Linked DNA regions of Oryza sativa Japonica Group. The protein of the gene in region 3 binds, or shares a complex with, the protein of the main gene of each other region. Links are inferred from orthologs where the notes say so. Each region holds a gene or a part of one and is shown on either strand. Other genes may lie near its edges.

Region 1 (2,574 bases), on a different chromosome or scaffold from region 3:
CTTTGCTAAGGATTATGCAACCGAAAACACAATAGAAACAAGAAGTAATGGTTAGAGGAAATAAACCAGAATATGGCAGAAAGCCAGAAGCTAAAGATTATGGTACAAACATCATAAGATAGCTATATGACTATATCACCTCCTTTATTGACATCGAGAAAAATAACTTTAGATAAAGCCACTGCACATAACTAACCAAAGTTCGATGTAGTAATTATGTGGATGATGATGATCTCCGTGCTACTGGATGCATGATCGATAACCCAAGACAGTATGGACTTGCCATCGGTGGGTTGCTCAGGGAGAGCAACATAAACCTTGTCTCTAAACAGAGTTTTCTGCCTGAGCATCATACTCATGCATGCAACTGGTAAGGCCTTGAAGATGGAACTAAGAGATACTTCTATCTACCAGTTTGCGTTTCCCACTTTGGACAACTAAAAGAGGGAACACACTGCGTATTAGCATTAAAGAATAAGATTCCAGTTTAACCAGGTAAAAAGGTTGACTCTTGACTGAGACTATCGGAAGACAACGCAACACTCAACTACCAAGTCGCAGTGAATGGATTATCTGAGGAAAGTCATTTGGTACGCTGTCATGCCATGCCAGTACAACACGGCAAAATTTGCTGGGAACAGGGACATGTTATGAATTAATGTAAGACTCTACCTTTCTCACATCCTTCACCCCCATTGCTCACCACAAATTCCCTGCCTTTCATTTCTAATAAAAAAAAGATGTAGTGCATCGATTGTGTGCCAGTGATAGAGCCATCAGTCTATCTGGTGATCTAATCTAAAGATCTCGGCCTCATATTTCAGTTACTCCATATGAACGGGAGAAACAACCTACGGGTAGTGACGATTCAGCAATAATAGCATATGAAATTTGAGGCGAACAAAATTGACAACAAGCAAACATCTCATCATCACCAGTACTGCATATGAAATTAAATCATCGTGGTACAGTCAAATCACCTTTGACGATTGACTAGAAATGGCGAACACCGAATAAATACATCGCGGCGGCGGCGGAATCGCGCAGGGAGACGGCAACATCGGCGCGCGGCGAGGCGGGAGTTGGGGGAAGCCGTCGCCGGCTCACAGGATCCCACCGGGGTCGCCCGCCTCGCCGTCGGCGAGGGGGAAGCCACCGCCGCTCCGGCGAGCGGCGAGGCCCATATTTATCCCTCGAGAAAAACCCTCGCCTCGCGTCCCAGCCCAAGTTTTAACGTGCGGCCCAGTAAGAAGATACAGCACGAGACGGCCCATTTTAAAGTGGGCCGCGAATCTGCGGCCCACGAGGAATTTTTTTTTTTTTGACGCTACTGGTTTGGGAGTTTGACACTGTGACGAGTAGAGGTCAAGTTGGTGGGGAATCTAGGCGGCGGAGGCGGTGGAGCGTGTCGGGGAGAAGCCGCCGGCGGCGAGGGGAGATGGAGGCGACGGTGGACGAGCTGAGCGAGGCGTACCAGGAGTTCGTGGCGGCGGCGGCGGCGGTGGTGGAGGCGCGGGGGCAGTCGGGGGGAGAGAAGAACGCGGCCACGGACGCGGCGCTCGAGGCGTTCAAGCAGCGGTGGGAGCTCTTCCGCGTCGCCTGCGACCACGCGGAGGAGCTCGTCGAGTCGATCCGCCAGCGAATCGGTTCCGAGTGCCTCGTCGACGAGGCCACCGGCGCCTCCTCCTCCTCCTCCGCGGCGCTGGCCGCCCCCGGCATCAAGCCCATCAGCGCCGTCCGCCTCGAGCAGATGAGCAAGGCCGTCCGCTGGCTCGTCATCGAGCTCCAGCACGGCGCCGGAGGTGCCTCCGCCGCGGGTCCCGGCGGCGGGGGCGGCGCCGCGGCTGCGGCTTCCGGCGTTGCGGGGCAGCACGGCCACGGCGGGGTCGACACGCGCTTCCCCGAGGACGGCGCCCAGTAGGTATTTATTTTGCTCAATTATCTTGTACTAGTAGTATTTTCTTCCAAAGAAAACAAATTACTGGTGGTATCTCTGTGTAATCGTCTAAGAATTGAAGCATTAGAGCTTGTGATCGATATTCTAAAAAAAATTGAGCTTGTGATTTTCTCAGCATTGTTACTTTATGCCTACTGATGTTAAAATTTGGGAGAAATTAACCGTTTTCTTAGTGTCGTGGCCAGATCACGCTTAGTAACTGATTTAATTTTGTCCTATTGCTTTTGTTAAGTGACTAATTGTGTAACGGACTTCCTTCCAGTAGGTTTTAGTTCTGATTTGTAGCTCGCTCACATAATGTTCGTGCATCGTACTAAGGTAAGGTAGTAAACCTGAGGTCCCAGGAAAAAATGAACAATTTCATATATACTACTCAACTAGCATATAACTGTATAAGTTCCTTCAACTTTCAAGTACCTACTCTGGATGTTTTGCTAATCTTGCGTCCGCCACAATGTGAATGCTTTTCCTTCTGATTTTTTAATGAACAACATTTTATTGAAGAATAACTAAGCAGCCACAAAAGGCACAATTTGTGATAATAAACTCTGGGAGATTGCTCATGGTTTGTGAAACCCAGTTATACTGGAAAGTGATATTGGTTATTAGCTACTAGT
Region 2 (4,225 bases), on a different chromosome or scaffold from region 3:
ACTGTGACCGCATCTGACAAAGGTTCTCTTCAGAGGACTAGAGGAGTTTATATCAACTGCAGCTTGATCTAAATTCATAGTTAAATTTTAATAATATATAGTTGTAGAATATAGAAAATAAATAAGAAATTAAATAGAAGTACAGGAAAACTACATTTTACATGTTTTCATGAGGTACTGCTAGTAGCTACTCAACGGTTGCTTAGGCTTGATTCGTTTATCTGGGTTGGGAACCTTTCATCGAACACGCTAAATGGAGTGGTAGATTTACACATGATTAATTAAGTATTAGCTAAAAGTATACACATGGAAAATGATAGGGTATAAGTTGGAAAAGCTTGCTGTGTTCTTTGTTCAGAGTTCCCAACCCCTCTACCTCGTGTTCCGTGCGCACGCTTTTCAAACTTCTAAACGGTGTATTTTTTAAAAAAAGTTTCTATATAAAAGTTACTTAAAAAATAAATTAATCTATTTTTGAAAAAAAGCTAATACTTAATTAATCACGCGCTAATGGACTGCTCTGTTTTCTGTGCGTACTGTTCCGGTTGGGAATCAGAGATACCGAACACATCCTAAAAGAACACGACTTTGATATTCCTTAGGGGAATGCTAGGAATCGGTCGCTCAGGGGAGGGAGAAAAATCGGGCGCTCCCTCCTCCCACGACGCGCACTGCCCTGGGCCCCACCACGTCTCTACCCCCACCTGCCACTTATCTCTATCACATACTCCATTGCAACAAATCACCTATATATTTTGGAAACACTCTATTAAGGGAATACATTTCATTTTTTTCCACGAAGAATGTTTTACCTTTTATACCCACAATATTCCACTGTGTATAGATCTAATGTCGCAGTGAACTGAAACATTCTTTCACTATTTGCTGAAACATTATTTTTATATAAGGTGAAACAACGCCCGACTTAAACTATTGAAACATTTTCGATCTCTTAGTGAAAAAATTCCGATATACTTGGTAGAATATCGTGCAACATTTTAAAATAATTCAATAATAAGCTAAATTTTTTTTCATCGGAATATATCTATGTGTGTGATCTTGTTTTGAAGATTTAATTGCAACGAATTTAATGGTGAAATCATGATTTGGATAAATAATTTAAGAGAAAAATTAGTTTAAAGTAGTTTTGCACGCATGCGTCATACTGATGTCAGCGTCCGATTTTTCTCCAAACCCATCGGTCGCCCGACGCGTAGGCTCCTCTTATTCCTTGAATTAGAATAGGTATGGCTACACGCCTACACGCACACAAGATAGATGAGGTGGGTGAGGCGGAGCAGAGGATCCGGCGGGCTGGGACCACCTCGTGTTGGTGCCTGGTGGTGATGCAGTGGGCGAAGTGGTTACACCAACGCGCACCACCACCACCATCTCTCTCTCTCTCTCTCTCTCTTCCTCCTTCCCACCAAACAAACATCCCACGCTTCGTCCCTCCCACTCCACTCCCCACCCCCGCGACGCCTGCGGCGACGACGACGGCGACGGCGAGGAAGGCTGGCCACGGCACGCGGCGGCGAGTAGTCCAGCATGGCGGCGCCCTCGGCGGCGGCGGCGTGGGTGGACTGGGCCGCGGAGTACACCAAGGCGGCCCAGGCGGAGTCGCGCCCGCCCGCGGAGTGGGCCGCGCGGGTGGCCTCCGTCGTCGCCGCCGCCGGGGACGCGCCGTGGTCGCCCGGGCTCGCCGAGATGCTCGCCCGCGCGCTGCTGTATGGCGGTGGCGGCGCGGCGTGGAAGTACGCCGAGGCAGCGCTCGCCGCGGGCCTCGCGTCGCCGGCGCTGCTCCTCGCGATCCTCTCCACCAGGTACGGACGGCGCGGCGCCCCCGCTCCCATCCATTGCCCTCCCCCCACGCGCGCGCAGTGGCGTTTGTGCGCGCGCGCGGGGAGAGACGAATTTGCGTGCGTGGTATCTGACATGGGCTCCTGCTCACGTGGGGTGTACTGTCTGATGGAATCCGCGCAATCGCGATCGGATCAGGCTACTAGTTTCGATCTATGAGATTTCCCTCGCAACCAGATTACCACAAATGCAAGTTGTTCTACAGCGTGGCCTGTACATGATCATAAACAATCTGATGTTTTGGGCCCTGTAAATTTGAGAAGGAAAAGGGATGGTGGCGTGCTTACTGTGCGTAATACCCATAAATTTGAGAAGTATATGAATGGCAGTGTATGTAGAGTACTCGAGTGTGCAGTGTAATGCAGATCAATTTAATACATGTATAGCAGCAGAATACTCTGTTTCATTTTTTTCACTTTTTTTCTTCTCTCTAGAGTCTAGATCATGCTAGTTGGAATAACAAGTGCAGTTTGAAATGTGCTTTTCAGCAGTAATCGTATAACCAACTGGCGAAATCCGTGCACATTTTCAATATCTGCTATGCTGCTGTGGAATGTTCTATAAAATAGAATATAAGACTGATTGCAAATATTCCGTTGATGGTTTCTCTCCATTCAGGGTCATTCCTCACCGGTTCACAAGGCCAACTGCATATAGACTTTATCTGGAGCTCTTGCGGAGACATGGATTCAATTTTGCTTTTCAGATGAAAGCGGCGAATTTCAAAAAGTGAGGTTTCCTTCTATGAGGTGTTCCCAGTAGTTTCATAATGCACGCATTCTATGTTCAGAGGTTTCGAAATATACATCACAGGAACATGTACATCATTCTGAACGATTCAGTACTGTTCAAAAGAATTATATAAGACGGGAATTTTAATACGATATGCTGACAATTAGAGTTTTGGGTGTCTACCACAATACATCTAGACCACCTTATTGCATCTGCATACTGGACATATCAAGATCTGTTCCAAAGAGCAACAATTTGCAAAGGAAGAATTTCACCTGGTTGAAAGGGCCAGTTCTGCAGTGATACATAATATTTTCGGTTGAATTGGTTAAGGTGTCACTTTATATGTTTTCAACTCGCATATAGTTCTTTCATGTTAGTTTTTAAAGAGTTTGTTTCTTGTGACATGTCTGTTCTGTTAGCATCCTATGTTTATGCCTTGTGTAGGTATCTGTCATTCTGTCTGCAACTTATCATTCCTTTAGTTGTCTTCTAAATGCAAAGTTTCATGACACCTTCTCATATTTCCGCAGGATCATGCAATTAATAGATGATAACCTTGGTCTCTCAAAGATATTTGGCTTTTCAACATGCGAACCAGGGGTTTTTGTTGTTGAATTTACCCTTTGCATGTTATGGCAGTTGGTTGATGCTGCATTAGATGACGAAGGCCTGTTAGAGTTGATACCGGATAAGAAAGCTCATTGGCCAACTAGATCAGATGATGTGAGTGCATTTGATGGAACTTTCTCTGAACAAAGAATAGACAAAATTGACAAGTTACAGAAGATGAATAATGTGATAACTATAGAGCTCATTGGGCATCTTCTTCATGACAAAGTAATTACTCATATCCTCTCATTGGCACGCGAAAACATGTATGGCTTTTCAACTTCATGTACTGCTTTACTGAGTTATTCCAGCTCTTTCTTCCTATCACTAAAAACAGTGAATTTATCCCTTTGTTATTATATCAATTGATAGCAACTTAATTTTATTTTAGTGAGTTAATGTATGGCTTAAATATCTCTGTGTTCCATATGCACCATATAATTGAAAACATTCTCTCTATTGGCTTAAGGTTCTCAAGTCAAGCTTCTGTGTCTTCTGAGTATACAGGGTATTGCCAATATTTTTCTGGAATATATCAGATTCATTGTATTTATGGAATGGCTGTACACTTTTATAAAACAACTGTCGACCGCAATGCTAAAATGTGAACTAATAGTACTCTAGAAGGACTACTGGTTGTATGAACAAGCAAGCTTGATTGGTTGCAACTGTAATGTTCAAATGATTTTCTCTACTACTTTATAACCAAGAAGGATCACTGATAGAATCATAGAAACTCTGGCCATGGGGGACAAGCTCTGATATACTCATGCCAATATTGTCTGATATTGCTGTTTGTGTTCATAACTGTACTAGAATCGTACACAAATGAACTATTGGGATAACAGTACATTGGTAGAAGGCATTCGTTTAAACTTCCAAAGTGGGGATCAAGGGCATCCTTAAGACACCACAACTGAATTCACTTACTGTTTTTATTTTTTATTTTTTTGAAAAAGTATGCTACTTTAATTTGTTATTATTACCACCAGTACTAACGAGTCTTGATGATTCAGGCAAT
Region 3 (4,185 bases):
AACTTGACTGCTAGACTTACATAATAACTAGAGAAAATAGTTTGATGCACACTAATTAACTAGAGAAAAACTACTGGGCAATTGAACGTCCCAAACCATGAGATCCTTACCACGTATGTGACCTAAATTAAAGTAAACAAAGCTACCATCAAATATATTGTCAGGATCATGACAAACTCCAGCTATCAGTCTACCACCAATATCGTCAAGCTTTCCCAGCATTCAGTTTCCACTCTTCAGTAAAAGCAAGCAATGATCAGTGTTCATTTACCAGTCTCCAAAGCAAGGTAGGCAGCATTTAGCATGTCATTACAAGAAAAACCATGGTGCTACTGACTAAAAGTTACAGAACTAAAGATGGCAACAATGTTTTAAGTGGGATGGTCAATGGAGATCATCATGGCATTGCAGCCAACACATATGACCGATCACAACGTTTTACCACCACCACCACCACCACTTGACATGAGTGAGGCGGCAGCAGCGCCTGCAGTCGGGACGATTCCAGTCGAATTGCCTGGTTTAGAGAGATGCAGAAGCCTGCAGTGTGTTTTGCAGTCAAAAGTGAGAAAATTCGTTTATGCCAGTCTAGTAATAATCTTGAGATAGCTAAGGAACACTTAGTTACTTACGGTGCTAGATATTCACAGAACGAAGTGACGGCTGAAACGACATCGTTGTAATTGTCAGCAGCAGCAGGGGCCGTGATTTCCACTAGCTGTATTGCAGGAGTGATTGGCACAGCTTCGTTGGTAGCATGGAGTTTTGTCATCTTGCTAACAGAGGTAACGGTCACAGTTATCTGGGCACCTCGGTGGAAACGAAATGCAAATCCTCCCTTCAGAACTTCATGATCTAACTTGTACCCTATACCGTAGAAGTAACGCAATACATTGTTGCTGGCTTTGCTCTCTACAATTGACCGCACAAGGACTGAGATTTGCTCTGCACCAGCACCTCTCATGGCACCTCCAACATGTCTTATGGTCCTACATGAATACTACTGGATTCAGAATATCATCAAATATCACAAAAATGTAAATTTTAGCAGCTGAAAGAAAAGTTACCAGGATGGCGTGGACTGAGCTAAGTCACACAATAAACGAACCTCTGATGGGACAACTCCTGTATGATTGGAAGATGTATATGAGTAACAATGGCATATGATCAGAATAATGAAAAAGTTGCAAACTGACCTAGATTTGGCCCACTTTTAAGACAGAGCTCATGCACTCTGACACGTTCTTTTGGGACACCAGAGAGGCCCTGGAGAAGAACCTCAAGAGCATCAACATGCTGCATAACAAGAAGATCAACCAAAAGTTACACTGATGTCAAAGCAATGAAAACTAAAAAAGGTTAAATGGTGTTCTAAGCACAAGACATTGACATGTGTATATAAATTAATCCCTTTATTGTAAAATTACAAACCATATAAGTGATATGATTCCTCCAATTGTATATAAAATAGAACCATATCAACATATTGAAAAGAGAATCAAAAAAAGTCTGCAAGTGGCAGAAGTAGTGCCCTCAGAGTGGAGAAACATGGTTGACCATATAGTGGTCAGCATGATCAACTGTATACTTTTTTTTTATTATCCTGAAGGGAAGTGTTGATATGCTGACAAGAGGAAGCTATAAGAGACTAACAAAAGGTCATATAGAGACAATGGATCGACGACAAAGTCTTAATGCTGGCATGAATTATTATTCTCTATTCCCTGATGTGTTTCGTTCAAGAAAAAAGAAATTCTCTATGGACATAAAGTTCCAATACTACTTCATGCTATATGGAGTGAAAAAATAACTTTGTTCCTAAGTAGGACTATTGAGATGTAATTTGACATTGGGGCTATGCAGTTGATAGATTTGCTACCTGGGATAGCTTAAGTGTTACCTTTCAAAAGGTTTTATCACAATTACATTTACAGAGGTCTGTTTTCAGGCAATTGACACCTCCAACAACAAAAATGCTATCTTAAATCAAGTGATAGAAAGTTCATTTAGTAAACGTCGAAATTCTACATTCCAACTCCTTTGGATAAGGTTACTACAAAGCGAAAGGCCAAATAACCTTATGCCAAAAATTAAATAAAATTCAGAATTCTAGATACAACATACAAGTAAGGAGCGCAAATGTCAGATCAGCAAACTTGACTAGTACCGATTTCCCAGAAAGGCCTACCATCATACAAAAATCAAGAATCCATGAAGAACATCACATCTACCATCACTCCGGCTTATGTTACGGGCCATGTATGATTTTCCGGGTAAAAGTTCAAATTGGTCATGTTTTACAGCATAAACAGACAAATCAGTTTCATATGAACAAAAATGCATCGTTGCATAGCTACAGATCACTCATTCTCGGAAGAAACTACCGTTCACTTCAACAACCGCTCACACAGTCACCACTCATACAAGTCTACTGGCGAAGTGAGAAAGAAGAACAATAACCTGGGTCTCGATGATCCCCTGCACCACGCACTCCATCAACCCCACCGCTTCTCGCTACCACAATCCCTGCAAGAGAGACAAACCCTGAAACCACGCTGCGGAATTTCGTCGAACAGCTACCTCGCAGCAACAAAAATTCACCCCCACCTTTAACCTAACAGCAATAATCCGCGGCGCGGCGGGGGCTGAGGCGTCGGGAAGTGAGCCGATCCGAGGCGCAAGAGCTCCCCCCACCTCGCAAACCCCGCGTCCCCGAACACTCCCCTCTCCGCCACTGACCGCTCGCCGTCCTCCGCCGCCTCCTCCTCCTGCAGCGATGGAGACGAGAAGAAAGAATTCCGAGAAACCGAGGGGGGTAAAGTGATAAAATGCCTCACCCCCGCGCGAAGGGTCGCGGCGTTTTTGCATCTAGGCCCCTGGAAGAATCTGAAATTTCAGTCATACCCTTCCTCTGACTTCTCCTCTTCCTCTTCCTCCCCCACGCGCTCGTCTCGTCTTCCTCTCGAATTCCCATTTTCTTCCACCTCCTCCTCGTCTCGAGGTCTCAGATCCAATGGCCGCGACGGCGACGGCGACGACCACCGCGTAGAGCGCGTGAGAGTCTGCGTGGACGGCTAACTATGGCCTCGCCGGCGGGGGCAATCGGCGGCGCGTCGCCGTCGGGGCGGGTGCTGGGCCCTGCGCTGGACCGGATCATCAAGAACGCGGCGTGGCGGAAGCACTCGGGCCTCGTGGCGGCCGCCAAGGCGGCGCTCGACCTGCTCTCCTCGTCGGCGTACGCGTCGGCGTCGGCGCCGTCGCCGCCGTCGCTGCTGCTCGGGTTGCCGGCGGCCGCCGCGGACGCGTGCATCCACGCGCTCCTCCTCGCGCTCGAGTCGGCGTCCCCCAAGGTCGCCGACCCGGCGCTCGACTGCGTCGCCAAGTTGCTCTACCACCGCCTCCTCGTCGGTGATCTCGGCGGTGGCGGCGGCGACGACGACTCCCCGTCCTCCAAGCTGCTCGCCGCCGTGCTCTCCTGCGGCGCGCTCGCCGACGACGCCATGGAGCTCTCCACCCTCCGCGTCCTCGTGGCCGCCGCGCGGTGCCCCTCCGTCGCCATCCGCGGGGAAGGGCTCGGCCAGATGCTCAAGACCTGCTACAACATATACCTCAGTAGCAGCAGCGGCGCCAACCAGCTCTGCGCTAAGCTGGCGCTGGCGCAGGTGCTGGTGATCGTGTTCGCGCGCGTGGAGGTGGACTCCATGGATGTGCGCGTGCGCACGGTGTCGATCACCGACATGATGGACATGTCTGACCGCAACCTGAATGACTCCAGCATTGTCCATGCGGCGCAGAGCTTCATAAACGAGACGATGGAGGGAAGCGATGTCCCTGAGCCGGGGTCCCCGGTTGAGCCGGCCGAGACGGATGGGAAGGAGGATGTTGTCATGAGCAAGATCAGGGAGGATGGGTTGACACTGTTCAAGAACCTGTGCAAGCTGTCCATGAAGTTCTCGACGCCGGATAATCCCGAAGATCAGGTCCTGCTGCGCGGGAAGGTGTTGTCTCTTGAGTTGCTCAAGATGGTTATCGACAATGCTGGGGCATTCTGGAGAACGAATGAAAAGTATGATATGATACTCATTATTGTCTTACTTCTGTGCATTTTAACAGCTCAACTTGCTGTGTTGCCTATCTATATAAATATTGTTGTTGCAGTGATTTAGAAGAATGCAGATGGCTTAA
Region 4 (4,169 bases), about 26 Mb from region 3:
CACGTTCTAAAAGAAAAAATAGTGAAAAGGGTGCATCAATAGAACATTTGAAATTTATATTCCCATCAGCTGTCCACTTGAAAAAGGAACTTTATTATATTGACAAGGTAAATGGTTAACTTTCAAATTCTAACCTGAGTTCGTGAGCCTCAGTAGTTCAATTGTCCTGTCAGCAACTGCCTCACCGATCATATCAGGTGAGAAAACAGCTCCTGGCGTTGATGATTGTTGAGGATGTTGTCTATAACAAGGAGCAACAAGAAGAACACGCCTCCACCAGTCTGGTGACGGAGTTGTGCGGAGTGCATGCCTCAAGCAACGCAAAGCACGTTCCCAGTCTAAACCCCCTTTAGGAATGGAGTTTGCAAGATCCTAAACAACAAAGTTATATCAGATTTCAGATCCTACCCAAACCAACATTAGTAACTAATAGCTCAATTATCTATTCATTTCCTGCCAATTTTCCTGATCCATCCTTGAAAAACATGCGGTGTGTTGAAATTTAATTGCAAAATATATTTTGCCTCTGCATGTTATGATGCTTTGCGATTTTTCCGTTTATTTCTCCCTCCTGTGAAATTATTCATGATCACTCAAACAAAATGTGTTAGCATGTCATCCCCTGTTAATGTTAGAGGATACTACAACAATCCTAAAGAGTTTGCAAGGATATTCCAGCCATTTTGCGACACTAATTTCAATCTCGTAGGCTCGTAGCCCCAATGTGGTCAAAGAATACTGCAATATCTCTATGCAGTCAAAATATGTGCAGAGCATATCGGATGAACATAAAAATTGAGCTTCAGTCCACAAGTACAAAGTCAATGCATACAGGTTCAATGGCAAACTTAAAAGGGGAGAGGTGGGTAAAGAGGGGGAAAAGTAATATCACCTCTCCGTGTAGCGGCTCTCCCAATACACTTGGATAAGTAATGGGAGAATAACGCAAATTAGCAACAGATTCACCAGCTATGCTTGGGTATGATTGCGACAAGAACCGATGAGTTGCAAATGTTGGGCAATGAAGGTGTTGATCCAACATCTGCATGTGCATACATACCATGTCCCTCCTCCTATGGATCTCCATAATAATACTAACTAGTGCTTCATCGTCAGGAATATTTTCGAGAAACTGCAAGTTGCTGCGAACAAGCTCGTAGAATGGAACACGACATTTATCTTCATTAACTAGAATCCATATCACATCTAAGCATAGGTGCATCCATTCATGCAAAGGTCTTTCAAGCCTCAAGGTTTGCAATTGCAATGCATCAGCTTGGTCCACACCATGCGGTCGCTGGTCCCAATTAACAAGCCAATTTACCATATGCTGGAATATCACAGCATGGGTGGCTGGCTTCAAATCAGACTCCAGCCCTGCTAGAATAATTCTACAGGATAAGTGATGCAGATAACTAATTTCTGCTCCCCTGCGAGACTGGTCACCTCTAGCTGTCAGACCAAGCTGTCCAGGGCTAGAGAATTCTGCTCCCTTAATGGGTGAGACATTTGCACCTATGGGTTGGTCGATACCAGATTGAGTGGGAGATCCTATAGTGTTCATTGCTGACAATGGAGATGTGGGATTTGAAGGGTGAAAGCTTGGGGCATTTGGCACTGCAATAGCTGATGAAGAAGATGTTGCCGGGCCACCAGTAGTCACAGAAACCCCTTGCCCCATTGGTACCTCCACGGAGGAAACTACATTAAGTAGAGAAGGAAGGAGACTGTCCCATCGAAGGTGGCCTCGAGCACACAGGCAACGTGTGGCAAAGAGCAAGAACTCAGATTGTGGGGCGTGGCTACTACACTGCAGGACAAATGAGATGAGAACTGATTCCGTAACTGCCTGCAGCTGCTCTTGGTCCTGAAGAAACATGCAAATCAAATAATAAATTTGTTCTGTTCTCATGACATAAACAAAAGTACTTGCGTAATGATTCTGCTTACTGGGAACTGCATGTGCAACTGCTCAAAATCCGAAATGAATTGCTCATCTCGGGGAGGCAGATCTCTGTTCATAGCAGTTACTCTCTTCTGCAACTTGTTCCTGAGGAAATTCAATGCCCATTATGCATTACAGTTTTAGAAAAGCTTGCTGAATTGACTTCCATCGTCAAACTACCATATCAAATTTTGTCCAAAAACTACCATATATCAAAATGAACAAGGCACGAAAAACCGCTAGAGTACAGCACACTAGTTCCAAAATTGCGGCAATAATCTCCGGATATTCCAGAATTCCTTTCAAAAAAAAAATCTCCGGACATTGCAGAAGCCATCGCCTTCAAAGGTAAAGTTGAACAAAGCGCGAACGACAAGGACAAAATAATCCGACCTAACCTATCATAATGTTTCATGTGCTCGAGCCCTCGAGCAATCCAGCTAGCCCTAAAAAGTAATCCCCAATTAGAAGTCCAACAAGTGGGAAATCAAACTTACGAGGTCTCCCTAGTTGGATCCTCGACCCGCTGCTTCGAGTTCATCTGCAAATCACAGAAACCCAGGGTCTGAGCTAGCGTTCACAAGTGCACCACGGTTAGAGATTGGGGAGGAGAGACAAGGCACGCACGCCGAGGTATAGGGTGAAGAGATCGGCGATGGACGACCGCGCCGGGTGGTGGTGGTGGTGGTGGAGCTGCATCTGCCGCTGCTGCGGGAGCACCGCCGAAGCAGAGATCGCCGGAGACATCGGCTGCCTCTGCCCGTGCGCCCCGTCCATCGCCGATGCGCCGCTTCCGTCGCCGGCGACTGGAGTGGTGCGGTGGGCTTGCTCCGACCGAGGGTTTAGGAGTGTGGCGGACCTGACCTGATGAGCTCTTGCAGTTTGGGGGAAAGGGAACAGATCAACGGACGGTGGGATGTGTAGTCTCAGCTGCATGGAGACGGATCCAGACCGCTGGTATGCATTCTACCTTTCTCTTGGGTCGAAAAATTGAAATTGAAACAGAACAAAAACATGTTCTCTGGTATATTTGTGGTTCAAATTAGTGGCCATATAATCGAAAGCTACCAAATACCATCCGGTTATATACTCCTTTCATTTCTTTTTTCTTTAACGTAGGTGGAATAGGTAGTATCATGCTTGGTCTCATTATTTTACGTACAGCTAATTATAAGTCGTGATGATTTTATATTAAAACTTTAATATATTTGTCCTTACTAGAAAAAATACACGTACATTGCAACAAGTAAATGTTATTTTAATTTTATTATTGTTACACAATTTAGCTAAGGTAAAATTCAATGTGGGAATTCACTTTGATATTTATTGTTTAAAAAAAATCATGAGCTGCAATTAGGAGTCTGTATTTCATCTCAAGTTAGCATGCGAGTTTTTTCAAAAGATTTTTTATACGATTCCTTCTATACTTCCAAAAGGAAACAAGGTTAAAATCCAACTCAAATACGGATATGTATTTCCAAAAACGAACGAACTTAAAAACCGACTCAAATACGGATGACGTACCAAAATACCGGCAAAAACATCTTTAATTTTTATAATAATAGAGATAGAGAAGAGATTGAATAAAAACCAATGCTGAAAATAAATCACGATAAAAAAAACTACTATGAAATTAAATTTAAAATTTTAATTTTTGGCTTTGAGTGATAAAACGAAAAGCATCGATGCTAGGACTCTTACAAATATTGGAGTATATTGAACTCAAGGATGATCCTACATATCACACATCTGATATGTCCCATTGGGATGGTCCCAAAAACATAATTTGAACGAATTTTGTGAATTCGACCAGCTACTAGTACCCAGCACCGGCGCTTCCAAGAACAATCCGCGCGAACGAGCACGTACGGCGCTACAAAAGTACACATCACAATTGACACACTACAGTACGTCGTGATCGGTGAACTAAGGCGCCCGAGACGGCGACGGCGCCGGCGACGCGGCGAGAGGGGTGGTGGCGGCGCCCCCGCTCCCGGCGCTCGGCATGGCGTCCCAGAGGAGGTCGGCGATGACCCGGTTGGCGGCGTCGGAGGTGTGGTACGCGTCCCAGAAGACGAACGCCTTGCGGTCGCTGCAGGGCCGCGAGTTCGGCAGGCACAGGCCCCCCACCGTCGTGTCCACGTTGCAGCACGACGTGTGCGCCGTCGTGAACCCTGCACACACACACACGCACACACGCATCGCCAACGGTGAGACACGCCCG
Region 5 (4,289 bases), on a different chromosome or scaffold from region 3:
CTGGCGTGGCTTGTTGACCTGATCTAACCGACTGAATTAGCATGTGGGGCCTAGATGTCAGCGTCCCCTCCTCCCTCTTTTACTTTTATCTTCTTTCTTCCCTATCCTTTCCCTACATGGTGATGAGCTCTAGTTGGGAAGGCGGTCGGTAGAACAAGGGAAGACGATAGGGATGCCACTGAGCATCTGACGAAGGTGACTCTTCCCAATTCCCATTCCACCCCCTTCCTGGGATCAGGAGAGGACACCGACCACCGCTCTTCGGTACGGTGGAGCAAACGAAGTGTCGTCTAAGAGGTGGCTAGAGACGGGCGGGAGACGTTGGACTCCAGCAATCGAGGACACACATGTCGACATTTCCTATCTCTGGAGAAGCTTCATCAAGATCGAGCTCGCTTGCCTCATTGGATTTGCCTCGTTGCCCTCACCAAGAACGGTAGCGGAACAAGGTTGCCACGCCCACCAAGGATAGGGGGCATGTGCTCGCCATTGCCTACAGCTTGAGTCTGTCATTAAGGTCAACGACATGGACGACGTGCTCCAGCGAGCCATCGAGGATGACCTCCCCCTCGGTGGCAATGATGACTACAAGAGCTCGTCGACATCTACCCCTTGTCCTCCGACGGGTGGTGGCTATCCCTTGGCCATGCAGAGATATGCACGTGACCCTCCTCTCTCTCTCCCTCACTATTGCCATGTATGGCTCCACAACATATAAAGGAGAAGGACTCTTAGATCTCGATGACAGCGAGGTCAATCACCATCCTTGTCCATTGCTAGGCCTTATTAACCGAGGCGTTGATAGAGGTGAAGGTGGGAAAAGGACGTCGGATTAGAGGAGGCGACAGAGAGAAGGGGAAGTGGCTTGAGGCTCGGATCTGTGAAGGAGAAACACTGATGGGACCCGGCTTTGTCCAGATCAGTGAGGGGCCTCGGTGTGGCAACCGTTGGAGCCCACAATGAAGAGGACATCTACGGCAGCACTGGGCCTCTCCGACTCTCCATCACCGCTGTGGCCCTTCCCTCCTTTGCTCCACAAGGTTGCCAACAGAACCAAGCTTAGTTGGTTGTGTCGGTGGTGGCTTTGTCGTCTAAGTCACTGACACTATTCATGCTTGAGCTCGTCACCGCGTGGAGAAAGGAGAGGGAAGAAAAGAAAAAACAAAAGCATGAGGAGAAAGAGAAGGGGACGACATGTGGGTCCCACATGCTGACTTAATCGGTTAGACCAGTTCAATGAGCCACGTTAACGAAAACCACCCTCAAAATAACTAAAAAGAGTTTTTTTATTCACCGGTGTTAATAGCCGAGGGTTCGATATACACGGTTTGCGATTAAGGGAGAACGAATCAGATTGGACCTATAGTCGAGGGAGACAAATTGGACTTATTCCGCTCAAATACTAGGGCCCTGATAAGGCCAGGCCTGGGCTTCGAGCTTCGGCCCAAAATCAACATATCCTTTGGGCTTTTGGACTATGTTGGGCTCTGAAGCTAAGCTTAGTTCACTTCACAGCCAGCGCCGACGAGAGGAGGAGCAGATCGGCTAGGGTTCCGGCGATGGCCTCCTCGGCGGCGGCGCGGCGGCGGCAGGAGATGGCGGCGGAGGGGCAGCGCCACCTGGAGGAGACCATCGCCGCCGCGTTCCAGATCCTCTCCTCCATGAACGACGAGCTCTGCAACCCCACGCTCTGGTCCTCCTCCTCCGCCGCCGCCGCCGCGGCGGGCGGCGCCGGCGGACTCCAGCACCACGGCAACAACCACCACCACCACCACCAGCACCACCACCACCACGGCGGTCTCCCTCCGCCGCCGCCGCCGCTGCACTCCGCGGACTCCGACGCCGCCGACGCCGCCGGGGGAGGGCCCGGGGGCGCGCCGGGCTCCGGCGGGTCGCTCGACGAGGCCAGGCACCGGTACAAGGTCGCCATGGCGGCGCTCCGCACGTCCATCGCCGCCGTGTCGTCCTGTGCTCAGGTCAGCACACGAATTTACCCGACATTGCATGCTCCCGTAGTATGTATGCAACCACGAAATGCGTGTTTCTAGTGATCGTCTAGTGGAAATTGTGAAACGTATTGCACTCTTTGTTGATATCAAGTTAGGTGCTTATACATAGGTAAGGGAGCCAAATAATTTTTGCAAAAGAAAATTTCTTATTATTGATACCAATGTAAGGGAATGTAAGGGATGTTGTGATGTAGGTTCGGACTACATGGATGTGGACTATATATATGTTTCAATCAACATGAGCTTTTAGTGTTCAATGTTCATGAGACAAAAATAGTAGTTTTATATGATTCTATTTTTAGCAGTAAGTGTAATCCTGATGTGCAAAATATGGTGCTATGGAGAAACCTCATAACAGTTTACTTCTTTGTAATGATGTTGTGGTTTTCTTCGTAGGAGATGGGATCGACAGAACACAAAGCTGATCAAGCTGAGATTGAGAGATTGGAAGAACATGCATCTGCTTTGAGAAAGGTACTATCTTGGGAATGTTCTAGCAATATAATCAATATCATTTTGCTGTATTCAGAATTTTTCCCTGAACCAGTTGGTAACTGGTGCTTATTTAGCCATGTCAATCCCAAATATTTCCCAAACAACCTGTTTTGAACATAATGTGTGTGTGTGTGTGTGTGTGTATATATATATATATATATATATATATATATATATATATATATATATATATATATATATATATATATATATATATATATATATATATATATATATATATATATATATATATATATATATATATATATATATATATATATATATATGTTCCTTTTATGCTTCAATCATTTTAATTCAAAAAGTCCTGAGAAGAGTGTAATCCCCAATTTTTACCTGAAACCATTTTAGATAGCCAGGATCTAGTTTGGCAAGCTGTGATACTGTGTTGCTTGTAGTGTTTTGGATAGTCATGTTCATTCTGTTGAACTCGTCAAAAAAGCGTTCCATCTTGATCTTTCCTGGCAATATTCATGCTTGTTAAGTTGTTATCTTATCATTGTTTTTTCTGCACTGGATACTGCATGTCATTATTGTTTGCATACTTGGATTTGCCTGCTAGTTTAGAACTTACTCCCTCCGTCCCAAAATAAATAAACATAGTATGGAATGTGACACACCCTAATACTAGGAATCTGGATAGGGGTCTGTTACTAGGTTTGTTATTTTGGGACAGAGGGAGTAAGTTTTTGCAAATCCACCTTTGATGCTAATTGGATTCTGGACTATTTAGCAAATCCTTTTCATCCTTTGGAGGGCTGTTGGCTGTAATGGCCTTGTAAGTCTCAACTACTCCTTATCTATGCTAGATCATTATAGCATAAATACAGATTATTCTCCTTGATGTGTATAAATGTGTATAGAAAAATGGATTTGTGGCTTATTCAGTTCCATTTGTATGATTTATTGAGATCAGTGATTTTCATGTACTCCTATGTTTGAAGTGTAGCAAACCATAGTTATTAAGACCGGACCGGTGATCGAACTGTTAGGGTACTCGGTTCACTGGTTTATTGGTCGGACCAGTCAAACCGCCGGTTTAAAGCGGTTCAAATAGATGTGTGTTAGAATACTAGAACAACATGTGACATAGCCGGCTGAGACTCTCCGTGGAAGCAAGGAGGTCTTGGTTCGATCTTCAGTTCAGCAGGTTTTTTCCTATTTTCTCTAACTCCACGTGACACCCTCCAGCAGTCGAACCACCTTCGGTTTTTGTCTGGTTCTGCAGAAAACCGCCCGGTTCAATGGGTTTTTGCCGGTCTGTTTGCTCAACGATCTTTTAGCTGGACTGGACCAGCCAACGCCCTGGTTCCCTTTTTTTCTGATCGGACCACTGGTCTGGTCTAGTTCTAATAACTATGTAGCAAACAGTGTTCTCTAATGCCTCGATTACATAGTTTGTTCCTAAAAAGTTCAAAGCATTTCATTTTAAACATACACTGGTCAGTACAATCTCAATTAGCTGATCCCATGTGTCCTAGTTCAGATTTCTATATATGCCCGTGGTATCATGGTCTGTGGAAGTTTTGAGTCCTCACGCTTTTGACATATATAATACATTTTTTGTTTCAACCTAGTAATGTGGCATACTGTTCTCTGGTACCGTAAACCAGTCTAATACAGGATGTTTACTGCAGGAAATTGAAAGCAAAAACAAGCATGTAAAGCTCCTTATCGACCAACTCCATGATTTAATATCGGACATATCAATGTGGCAGAGTCCTTGCTCAGTGTGAAAACTCATCGGCATTTATCCTTTAGGAATCC
Region 6 (3,437 bases), on a different chromosome or scaffold from region 3:
GATGTTTGCTAATCAGCTCAGGTGCCTTCTAGAACGCTCACATAAAAAAAACTCAGTGATCTGTTTATGCATAATAGAATTGTTCCTCACACCAAGAGATGATTGTTTGTGCTTAAAATGCAGCTATGGAAATGGAACCATGTTCTCTTCTCGACTAGTTATTCAATTGCTGTGTCCTTTCTCCTACGCAGTGCAATTATCTACTCTGGAATTGTGCAGTTATTTCAGTTATAATGATTCTCTTCCAACATTTAGGAAAGACCAGAAACAGTTCAATTTCATTATTTCAATATTGTTTACTAAGAGATCTGGCAGATCAAAATTTGTTTACTGAAAAAAAAAAGGGGAAGAAACAATCGAAGCATCCTTACTAAATGAATTGGATTATGAATTACGAATCATTGCTCAACTGCATCGTATAATGTAACATTTAACGACTGTAAATGTTTACTGCAAAATGGAATGAGGGGAGGGGGGCATTTGACGGCGCATTACCTCGAACACATGATGTGCATCCAGAGACGAAGCTCCACTCCCAGCAGCGAGATCCCAAAGGCAAATCTTCTTATCATACGAGCCGCTCAGCAGCAACCCCTCCTTCATCGGACTCCACGCCAGCCCATACCCCTCCGCTTCATGCCCCCTGAGCACCACATCGGCGCCGCCCTTCTCGCCGCCGTCGCCAAGATGGTACACGTGCACCTCATCCACGCAGGTCTTGGTAGCCACCGTGTACGGCCTCTGCGGCATGCAGCGGGCGCGGTTGACCTCGCCCTTGTGCGGCACCGAGCGGGAGATGGACACGGACGGGGCCGGGACGGCACCGCCCGCCGCCGCGGCCGCCGCCGCCAGGCGGGGCGGGAGCGGGAGGGCGGCGTCGGCGAGTAGGAGGTGGTTGGGCGTCTCGTCGGAGGTGTGGGTGCCGAGGACGAGGCGGTGGGAGCGGGCGGAGCCCGGCGACCGGGAGTGGGAGGGGAGCCACTGGACGGTGAGCGACGGCCACTCGAGCGGCTGGGAGATGACGAGGTCGTAGAGCACCGGCGCGTTCTTCTTCCAGTTCTGGTGCTCCTCCATCTCCGCCGCCGACGACCTCGCCGCCGTGGAGGACCCGCCGTCCATGGCTCTTCTCTTGCGAATTGCGCGGGAAGTGGAGGCGGCGCTGTGGTGCTCTCCCGCCAAAAAGATTGGGGAGACGATGCGGCGGAGTCAGAAGAGATGGTGTTTTATGGCCGAGTTAATGGGCTTTTATGGGCCGTAAAGCCCATATAATACAATTTGGAGGCCCATTAGCCCATTAAGAGGAAATTTTGTCTAGTAGCTTCTGCCTCGCGTCCGTCTCCTGCATCCGCAGTCGCCGCCGCCGCCGCCGCGATGATGCAGTCGCACCACCCCTCGCCGGCGCGGCTGGGGCTGACGGCCTCGTCGCCGTCGCTCCCGCCCAACCCGGCTGCGGGGAATCCCACCTCCTCGCCGCCGCAGGGCAACCCTAGCGCGGCGGCGGCCGTGGGCGCTGCCGCTGCCGCTGCACCAACCCTAACTACATCGCCGTCGCTGCTGCCGCTCCTGCCGCCGCTCCCGCGGGCGCAGGCGCTCCTCCAGCTGATCTCCGCGCTCGCCTCCAACCTCTTCGAGCTCTCGCCGAGCCGCGCCGCGTGGATCTCGGCGTACCGGGGGTCACTCCCCACTTTCCTCCCCTCGCCGTCCTCCGCGCCGCCGCCGCCGCTCCCGGCCCCGATCTCCTCCACCAAGGAGGCGCTGTCGCTGCTCAACACGCTCCAGACCCAGCTCTTCGAGGCCGTCGCCGAGCTGCAGGAGACCCTCGACCTGCAGGACGCGCGCGCGCGCCTCGCCCGCGAGGCGCGCGCCAAGGACGCCTCGATCCTCGCCTTCGCCAAGAAGCTCCGCGAGGCGCACCACGTGCTCGACCGCCTCGTCGACGACTACGCCGACTACCGCCGCGACCCCAAGCGCCCGCGCGGCGCCGCGGCGGCGGACGACCCCGAGCCGGTGTCAGACGGCGACTTTGGCGCGTCGCTGCACTCCAAGCTCAACCTGGACGACGTCCTGACGTACGCCCACCGCATAAGCTACACGACCTTCGCGCCGCCTGAGCATGGTGCTGGGCTGCCTCTGCGTGGGGCGTTGCCGCCTGCTCCTCAGGAAAATGAGATGAGGATGTCGCAGCTGTATCAATTTGCGGATTTGGATGTTGGAGTGCCGAAATCCCAGGAAGCAAAGGAGAGGACTGCAGCAGAGGGAGATGCCACTCCGCTTTTTCAGCCTTCACCAACCCAGGAGGCAGCTGTGCTACCAATCACTGTGCCGCATCCGCATGGGTGGCGGAACGGGGCGCTGCCTCTCGAAATCCCGTTGCCGCCGCCTGGATGGAAACCCGGGGACCCGATCACTCTACCGCCGGATGGCATTCTGGCTGGTGTCAAGGGTGAGGAGCCACGGGCCAGTGTGCAACAGATGCCGGTTGTGGTGCCAGCAATGGTGCCGAAGGCACAAGAACCGATACAGGTTCGGCATGTTGATCTTGACATTAACAATAGTTCTAGCAGTGATGAGTACAGTAGCGACGTCGGGAGCTCTGAAGAAGATGATGAGGATTAGTTCCTTGGTAAGCTATTTTATGATTCATGTTTCCATGCCGTTGTAGGTCATGTACTAGTAAGAACAAATAATGCAAGCTCTCATACATGATTATTCAAGATCATGCAGCAATATACTGGTATTGAATAGAATTGGGTGGCGTATCATGTATGTGTTGATTAATTAAACCATCTCACTAGTCAATTTGCTTCGATATATGTAATCAAGCATGATGGTCTAATTTCCTCAGGATGTGCTGGTGTTGTATCGTCAGAAACATGGCTTCTTTTATGGATATTTAAACTTGAACATGGTGTGTTTAATGTTTGATGCCCTTCTTCACAGATTACAGGTTTCAGTCATAATTGCTTGCTAGGCTTGCTAGCTGGTTATGGGCTTTTCAATCAAGTAATGACTTCCATGTTCATGCACTCTGCTTAATTTTTCTCATTGTTTTACCTTATGTCTGTACCTCTTATTGCTGCAATATAGTTTGAAAACCTTTATACCATTGTACCAAAGAGTGGTAGCTGAAAACTCAAGAATGTTCTATAACTCAAGCTATATAAGTTATGAGAAGGGAGTGGTTTCAACTTGTAAGTTTGCACTTAAATGAACACACCATTTTTCCTATCTTATTGCACAGCATGGGGGATCTTCCTACTACAAACATGATACTAGTACTATAGGTCTTAGTTTTCATTCACGAGCTTATCTTGCAGATGATAAAGTAGTAATTGACTCAAATGGGTTAGAACTGCCAAAGCATCATCAGAAGTAACTCCTTTTATAATTTTATTGGTGCATATCGCATCTTTATGTACTTTTTTTTCCCAATTCAA
Region 7 (4,052 bases), on a different chromosome or scaffold from region 3:
GACATCACATGGCACTGGGCCACTGGTAGTAGTAGAATTTACCATGCAAAAAACTGGCATAGGCATGATGATTGCATATGTTGATCTGGGAGGAGTGGATGTGATACAATGACAGTGATATCCAATAAAATGTAAGCTGTGTATCGCTAATGATTTTTCTAAAGAGATGCTGGTATTGATTAGTAGCAATACAATAACACAGCAGCTCAGTAGTTGTGAACAACAGGCCTGTGAAGTGTGAAATTGATGCTTATTTTAGTCTTTCTGAGTATGTCATAAATCAATGAAGCAAGGGAATGGAGAAGAAATGGAGTATATATGGTTATAGCGCTGCATCTGTTGATACTATTATCAAGGCAAATCTATATGCTACCTTTGAAAAAGAGAAAACAAACAAATCGCCAAATTTGTTGTATTTGGCGCATTTCTCTCAAACTTATGGTGTTACGGTGTTACCTGCAAGAATTATGATACGAATTGTTTGCGGTGCTTTTCTTTTTCATGAATAGGGGTCGGAGTTTTATTCTCCGAACCCCCTTGGTCGTCCAGGTTTTGCCAACTCGATCCGGTGGACAGTGGTTTGTCCTCATTGTTTCTTCAGGTTGTGATTGATTGCTGTGAGTTTTGAGCGGATGGTGGCATTGATTGTAAGCTAGTATGACAATCTCATCTGCAACTTGTTTCTGTGATTGGCAATGCTCTGGCACATCGATCCGCGCAAGTAGAAATTCAGTCACTCACTGTATAGTTGGTTTGCAGAGAGATTATCTGAATTTACTTGCTTGCTCAACTTCAAAAGGCCTGGAATTCAGAAGCTGGACTGAAGAATCGACATACTACTACTTATTTTGTGAAATATCCGTCGTCCCTGATACGTTGCAGATTGATCACAACTTGCGGTTGAGTTTGGAATATCATTGCCACCGGCACCAAAGAGAGTTTTGTTCCCTGAAACTTGTGATCCATGGACGAACAACAGAAGAACAGGCCTTGTTGTCTTGTAGGCATTGATAAGAAAAAGCTCTCTGATATAAGCCTTCGTTTTACCATTGCTAGGAGATAATTCCTGCTCCCGAGGGGCCTTGAGAAATGGAAAATAAAAAAAGAAACTCCGGCCCATTCGGAGTAGTGGAAGTCTGGAACTGGTCCAGGCCAGCCCAGCAACATTTACTTGTTAGGCCGGCCCAAAGTCAAAAAAGGCCCATCATACTCTCTTCCAGAGAAGAAACTCCAAAGTCCAGCACCCAAACTCGATCGAGAATTCGCTCCTCCTCACTCCGCCGCCCGACGACCTCGCCGGCGGCCGCCCCCACCCCGCCGGCCGCCGCTTCTGCTTCCCGCGGGGGGATCCCTTCCGCTCTTGAGCGGGACTCGTGAGCCCCAAGGCAGTGCCTCCTTCACTCAAAAAATTGTCTCCGATCTAATTAAGCCCTCCGCCGCCGCTGCCTCGCCTTCGCCATGGAGGAAGCCGTGCGGGTGGACCTCGACAAGCTCCCCATCAAGCGCCTCCACGCCATCGACGAGGCCGGCAACGAGCACTACCCGCCGTAAGCACCAAACCAAACCAACCTCTTCCCTTCCCCTGAAACCCTAACCCCCACCTCTCTCCGTTCACTGAGATTCGGATTCCGCAGCGACACCAGCAGCGAGGAGCAGCGCCTCTCCGCCATCCGCCGCATCGACTTCTCCTGGGTCATCGACAAGGACGCCAAGAAGCCCAAGAAGGACACCGCCCAGCAGCAGCAGCAGCAGGCATGGCCGTGGCAGGGCATGATGGAGAGCCTGCAGCAGGCGCAGCAGGAGCTCTCCGTCGTCATTGACCTCATCTCCACTGTCAGTTTTCCCACACACAATACTGCAAACCCCATTCTATTTGCATGCGATTGTTTGTATTCCTGACAGAGGAGACAATCCTACTTGATAATGCAGGTCGAAGCCAATGATGCAGTGGCAGTCGCTGGGATGCTCAAGCCCAAATCGCTGCCAACCGAAACCTTAGTTGACACCGCAGTCTCTGCAGCCACCAAGCTTCAGCGCGTTCGGGTATGTCACCCTACTGCCTATGTTTGATTACTTCAATTCACGGCTAAGGAACAAAATGGAACCTAAAACAAACTCAATTTGTTTCTGTAATCGCTTGCCACTTTCCTCTTCCGTCTTGCATCTATCATGCTTCCTGTTGTGATCTTCATTTGTGTCCTCGCAGCATTTGTCACGCTACTTCAAACAATCTGCCAAAACAATGGAGCAGCAGTTCCAAAAAGAGTCTAGGTTCTATGGCTCATTAATCAGGCATGTCTTGTTGCTTAACTTGAGTTGTTATTTCAATACCACTTCACCCAAGTTTGCACCATGAATTACTCGCGGATTGGTGGCAGATTGCAGCAGAACTGGAAAGTGAAGCGGCAACGGTTTGGTGGAAGTGGTCCAGGAAGTGAGGGCTTCATGTTTGATCTGATCGACACTTCTCAATTGGACACAGCAGCAATGCCTCGACTGTCATCATTACCATTGATTCCAATTGACCAAGACTCATCAGGCACTTTGTCCGTACAAGTCCCTCAAAAATCTTGCCGTTTCTTGAGTCTTAATTTTCGAGGGGACAGTGCCAATGGTGTGGAAAACTACGGTCATAAACTGAAAGATGGCATCTCAAGCATCACTTCCTCTGAAACAGACAATGATGATGTCAATAAATCCATCAAACATGCACATTCTATTCTTCGCAACATCCACAAGTCAATATTTGAGGAGCAGGTCAGCTAAGTGTTTGCTTGGCATGCTAAGAATTCCTGTATAGAATGCTCTTAATTAAGTTTTAACTATAGCATCATGGAAAATTATTGTATATCATGTGATGACATCTTGCACCACCACCACCCCTCCCTCCCCGGGTTTATCATTATTTATTTATGTATATCGTTCTGTGGCTTAGCTTAGTGTATGCCTTTGTAGGTATTTGATATGGTGATCCGTGAGACATTTGTCCAATCTCAAGGCATCAATGTGACTGGAATGCGTGAAGATTTTCTCCAATTAGCTATTGGTCAGGAATGTTCATTGTGCCTCTCGCTTGCTCATTCTGGAGATGGTAGTGACTCAGAAATGGTAGACCATGAAGACCATGCCAATTCAGAGGATGCCTCAAATCTTGTGTTGGTCACTATGAATGGGAAGCTGGACCCTTTAAGAAAAGACGTGACAGGGTTTCCTAATCCCAGAAGTCTGGAAATTTACTTGCTACAATTGTTTCATGAGAACATTCTTAGGAAGGTCAGGGAGAAATCCCTTAACATTGGTCGCTACCAAAGTCCTGCTCAGGTTGCAGGTGATGATTATGGCCTGCTAGGTCATTTCTGCTTGACAGTGGCTCACAGGATATTTTCTAACAAAGTACTCGTGGAGCTTGAGAGTGTGGTATAGCTCCTATAAGCTTGTTGATGCTACATATTTGCATGTAGATCATTATTTAAATTTCCTTTCTGTATTGCAGGTCAGCAGGGTTCCATATCTCCATTTGCGTTCTCTTCCTACTTGGCATTCTCGAACTTCCTCCTGGTCTCTATGCTTGAAAGTTCCTCAGCCTATCCTTGCTGCAGATCGGATTGCAAAGCCTTCTGATAACCATGAACTTAAGTACAAATCCAGGTCACAGTTCAATACTAAGGTGATCGTGAAAGATAGCCAAATTAGTCTAATGGGTGAAGGCTCCCCAAGCATTGCTGGATCATTGACTGGGAAGCCCTCCGATGGATATTTGGTAAATAGCTACAATTGTGACTTGGAGGACCTCCCAACAATGCTTCTGCAGCAGGTAAACTTCTGATGATACTATTTAAATTATTTCTTGGTAGATCATGTTTATGAAATTATTAAAGTTATTACCATTGGAATTCATTATGGTCCATTGATAATGCAATGAGCCAGACTATTTCTTGCATTGCAAATGTGTAACATAAACTCCTTGCATTTGAATGTGAAATGCACAATGGTAATGCATTTTTCTTAGTTTTTTTCCCTGAGGAAATCTTCATTTGTGCCTATTGACCTAC

Evidence for each region.
Region 1: mediator of RNA polymerase II transcription subunit 18 (region 3) and mediator of RNA polymerase II transcription subunit 32 share a complex: the UniProt entries of both Arabidopsis thaliana proteins name them as parts of the mediator complex. The link is inferred for Oryza sativa Japonica Group from reciprocal best matches to the Arabidopsis thaliana genes AT2G22370 and MED32.
Region 2: mediator of RNA polymerase II transcription subunit 18 (region 3) and mediator of RNA polymerase II transcription subunit 33A share a complex: the UniProt entries of both Arabidopsis thaliana proteins name them as parts of the mediator complex. The link is inferred for Oryza sativa Japonica Group from reciprocal best matches to the Arabidopsis thaliana genes AT2G22370 and RFR1.
Region 4: mediator of RNA polymerase II transcription subunit 18 (region 3) and mediator of RNA polymerase II transcription subunit 23 share a complex: the UniProt entries of both Arabidopsis thaliana proteins name them as parts of the mediator complex. The link is inferred for Oryza sativa Japonica Group from reciprocal best matches to the Arabidopsis thaliana genes AT2G22370 and AT1G23230.
Region 5: mediator of RNA polymerase II transcription subunit 18 (region 3) and mediator of RNA polymerase II transcription subunit 30 share a complex: the UniProt entries of both Arabidopsis thaliana proteins name them as parts of the mediator complex. The link is inferred for Oryza sativa Japonica Group from reciprocal best matches to the Arabidopsis thaliana genes AT2G22370 and AT5G63480.
Region 6: mediator of RNA polymerase II transcription subunit 18 (region 3) and mediator of RNA polymerase II transcription subunit 4 share a complex: the UniProt entries of both Arabidopsis thaliana proteins name them as parts of the mediator complex. The link is inferred for Oryza sativa Japonica Group from reciprocal best matches to the Arabidopsis thaliana genes AT2G22370 and AT5G02850.
Region 7: mediator of RNA polymerase II transcription subunit 18 (region 3) and mediator of RNA polymerase II transcription subunit 17 share a complex: the UniProt entries of both Arabidopsis thaliana proteins name them as parts of the mediator complex. The link is inferred for Oryza sativa Japonica Group from reciprocal best matches to the Arabidopsis thaliana genes AT2G22370 and AT5G20170.

The regions. Positions count from the first base shown.
Region 1 is NC_089044.1:22,150,916-22,153,489, forward strand, and holds mediator of RNA polymerase II transcription subunit 32, read left to right. Parts: upstream 1-1,348; 5' UTR 1,349-1,438; coding exon 1,439-1,921; 3' UTR 1,922-2,074; downstream 2,075-2,574. Other genes in the region: U-box domain-containing protein 70-like, read right to left, coding at 197-359. UniProt on the Arabidopsis thaliana protein: Component of the Mediator complex, a coactivator involved in the regulated transcription of nearly all RNA polymerase II-dependent genes.
Region 2 is NC_089041.1:6,111,124-6,115,348, forward strand, and holds the start of mediator of RNA polymerase II transcription subunit 33A, read left to right. Parts: upstream 1-1,425; 5' UTR 1,426-1,548; coding exon 1,549-1,823; intron 1,824-2,478; coding exon 2,479-2,589; intron 2,590-3,125; coding exon 3,126-3,470; intron 3,471-4,220; coding exon 4,221-4,225. UniProt on the Arabidopsis thaliana protein: Component of the Mediator complex, a coactivator involved in the regulated transcription of nearly all RNA polymerase II-dependent genes.
Region 3 is NC_089036.1:5,237,976-5,242,160, reverse strand, and holds mediator of RNA polymerase II transcription subunit 18, read right to left. Parts: upstream 2,801-4,185; 5' UTR 2,608-2,800; intron 2,527-2,607; 5' UTR 2,497-2,526; coding exon 2,461-2,496; intron 1,297-2,460; coding exon 1,197-1,296; intron 1,126-1,196; coding exon 1,068-1,125; intron 990-1,067; coding exon 633-989; intron 541-632; coding exon 429-540; 3' UTR 241-428; downstream 1-240. Other genes in the region: brefeldin A-inhibited guanine nucleotide-exchange protein 1, read left to right, coding at 3,081-4,066. UniProt on the Arabidopsis thaliana protein: Component of the Mediator complex, a coactivator involved in the regulated transcription of nearly all RNA polymerase II-dependent genes.
Region 4 is NC_089036.1:31,045,629-31,049,797, forward strand, and holds the start of mediator of RNA polymerase II transcription subunit 23, read right to left. Parts: upstream 2,801-4,169; 5' UTR 2,723-2,800; coding exon 2,573-2,722; intron 2,487-2,572; coding exon 2,443-2,486; intron 2,051-2,442; coding exon 1,951-2,050; intron 1,868-1,950; coding exon 893-1,867; intron 373-892; coding exon 135-372; intron 1-134. Other genes in the region: GDSL esterase/lipase At5g37690, read right to left, coding at 3,872-4,119. UniProt on the Arabidopsis thaliana protein: Component of the Mediator complex, a coactivator involved in the regulated transcription of nearly all RNA polymerase II-dependent genes.
Region 5 is NC_089038.1:19,469,314-19,473,602, reverse strand, and holds the start of mediator of RNA polymerase II transcription subunit 30, read left to right. Parts: upstream 1-1,489; 5' UTR 1,490-1,559; coding exon 1,560-1,976; intron 1,977-2,405; coding exon 2,406-2,483; intron 2,484-4,159; coding exon 4,160-4,258; 3' UTR 4,259-4,289. UniProt on the Arabidopsis thaliana protein: Component of the Mediator complex, a coactivator involved in the regulated transcription of nearly all RNA polymerase II-dependent genes.
Region 6 is NC_089043.1:25,716,283-25,719,719, reverse strand, and holds mediator of RNA polymerase II transcription subunit 4, read left to right. Parts: upstream 1-1,296; 5' UTR 1,297-1,371; coding exon 1,372-2,616; 3' UTR 2,617-2,937; downstream 2,938-3,437. Other genes in the region: histone-binding protein MSI1 homolog, read right to left, coding at 496-1,119. UniProt on the Arabidopsis thaliana protein: Component of the Mediator complex, a coactivator involved in the regulated transcription of nearly all RNA polymerase II-dependent genes.
Region 7 is NC_089046.1:28,095,974-28,100,025, forward strand, and holds the start of mediator of RNA polymerase II transcription subunit 17, read left to right. Parts: upstream 1-1,252; 5' UTR 1,253-1,458; coding exon 1,459-1,547; intron 1,548-1,634; coding exon 1,635-1,833; intron 1,834-1,929; coding exon 1,930-2,043; intron 2,044-2,206; coding exon 2,207-2,292; intron 2,293-2,378; coding exon 2,379-2,757; intron 2,758-2,955; coding exon 2,956-3,417; intron 3,418-3,493; coding exon 3,494-3,814; intron 3,815-4,052. UniProt on the Arabidopsis thaliana protein: Component of the Mediator complex, a coactivator involved in the regulated transcription of nearly all RNA polymerase II-dependent genes.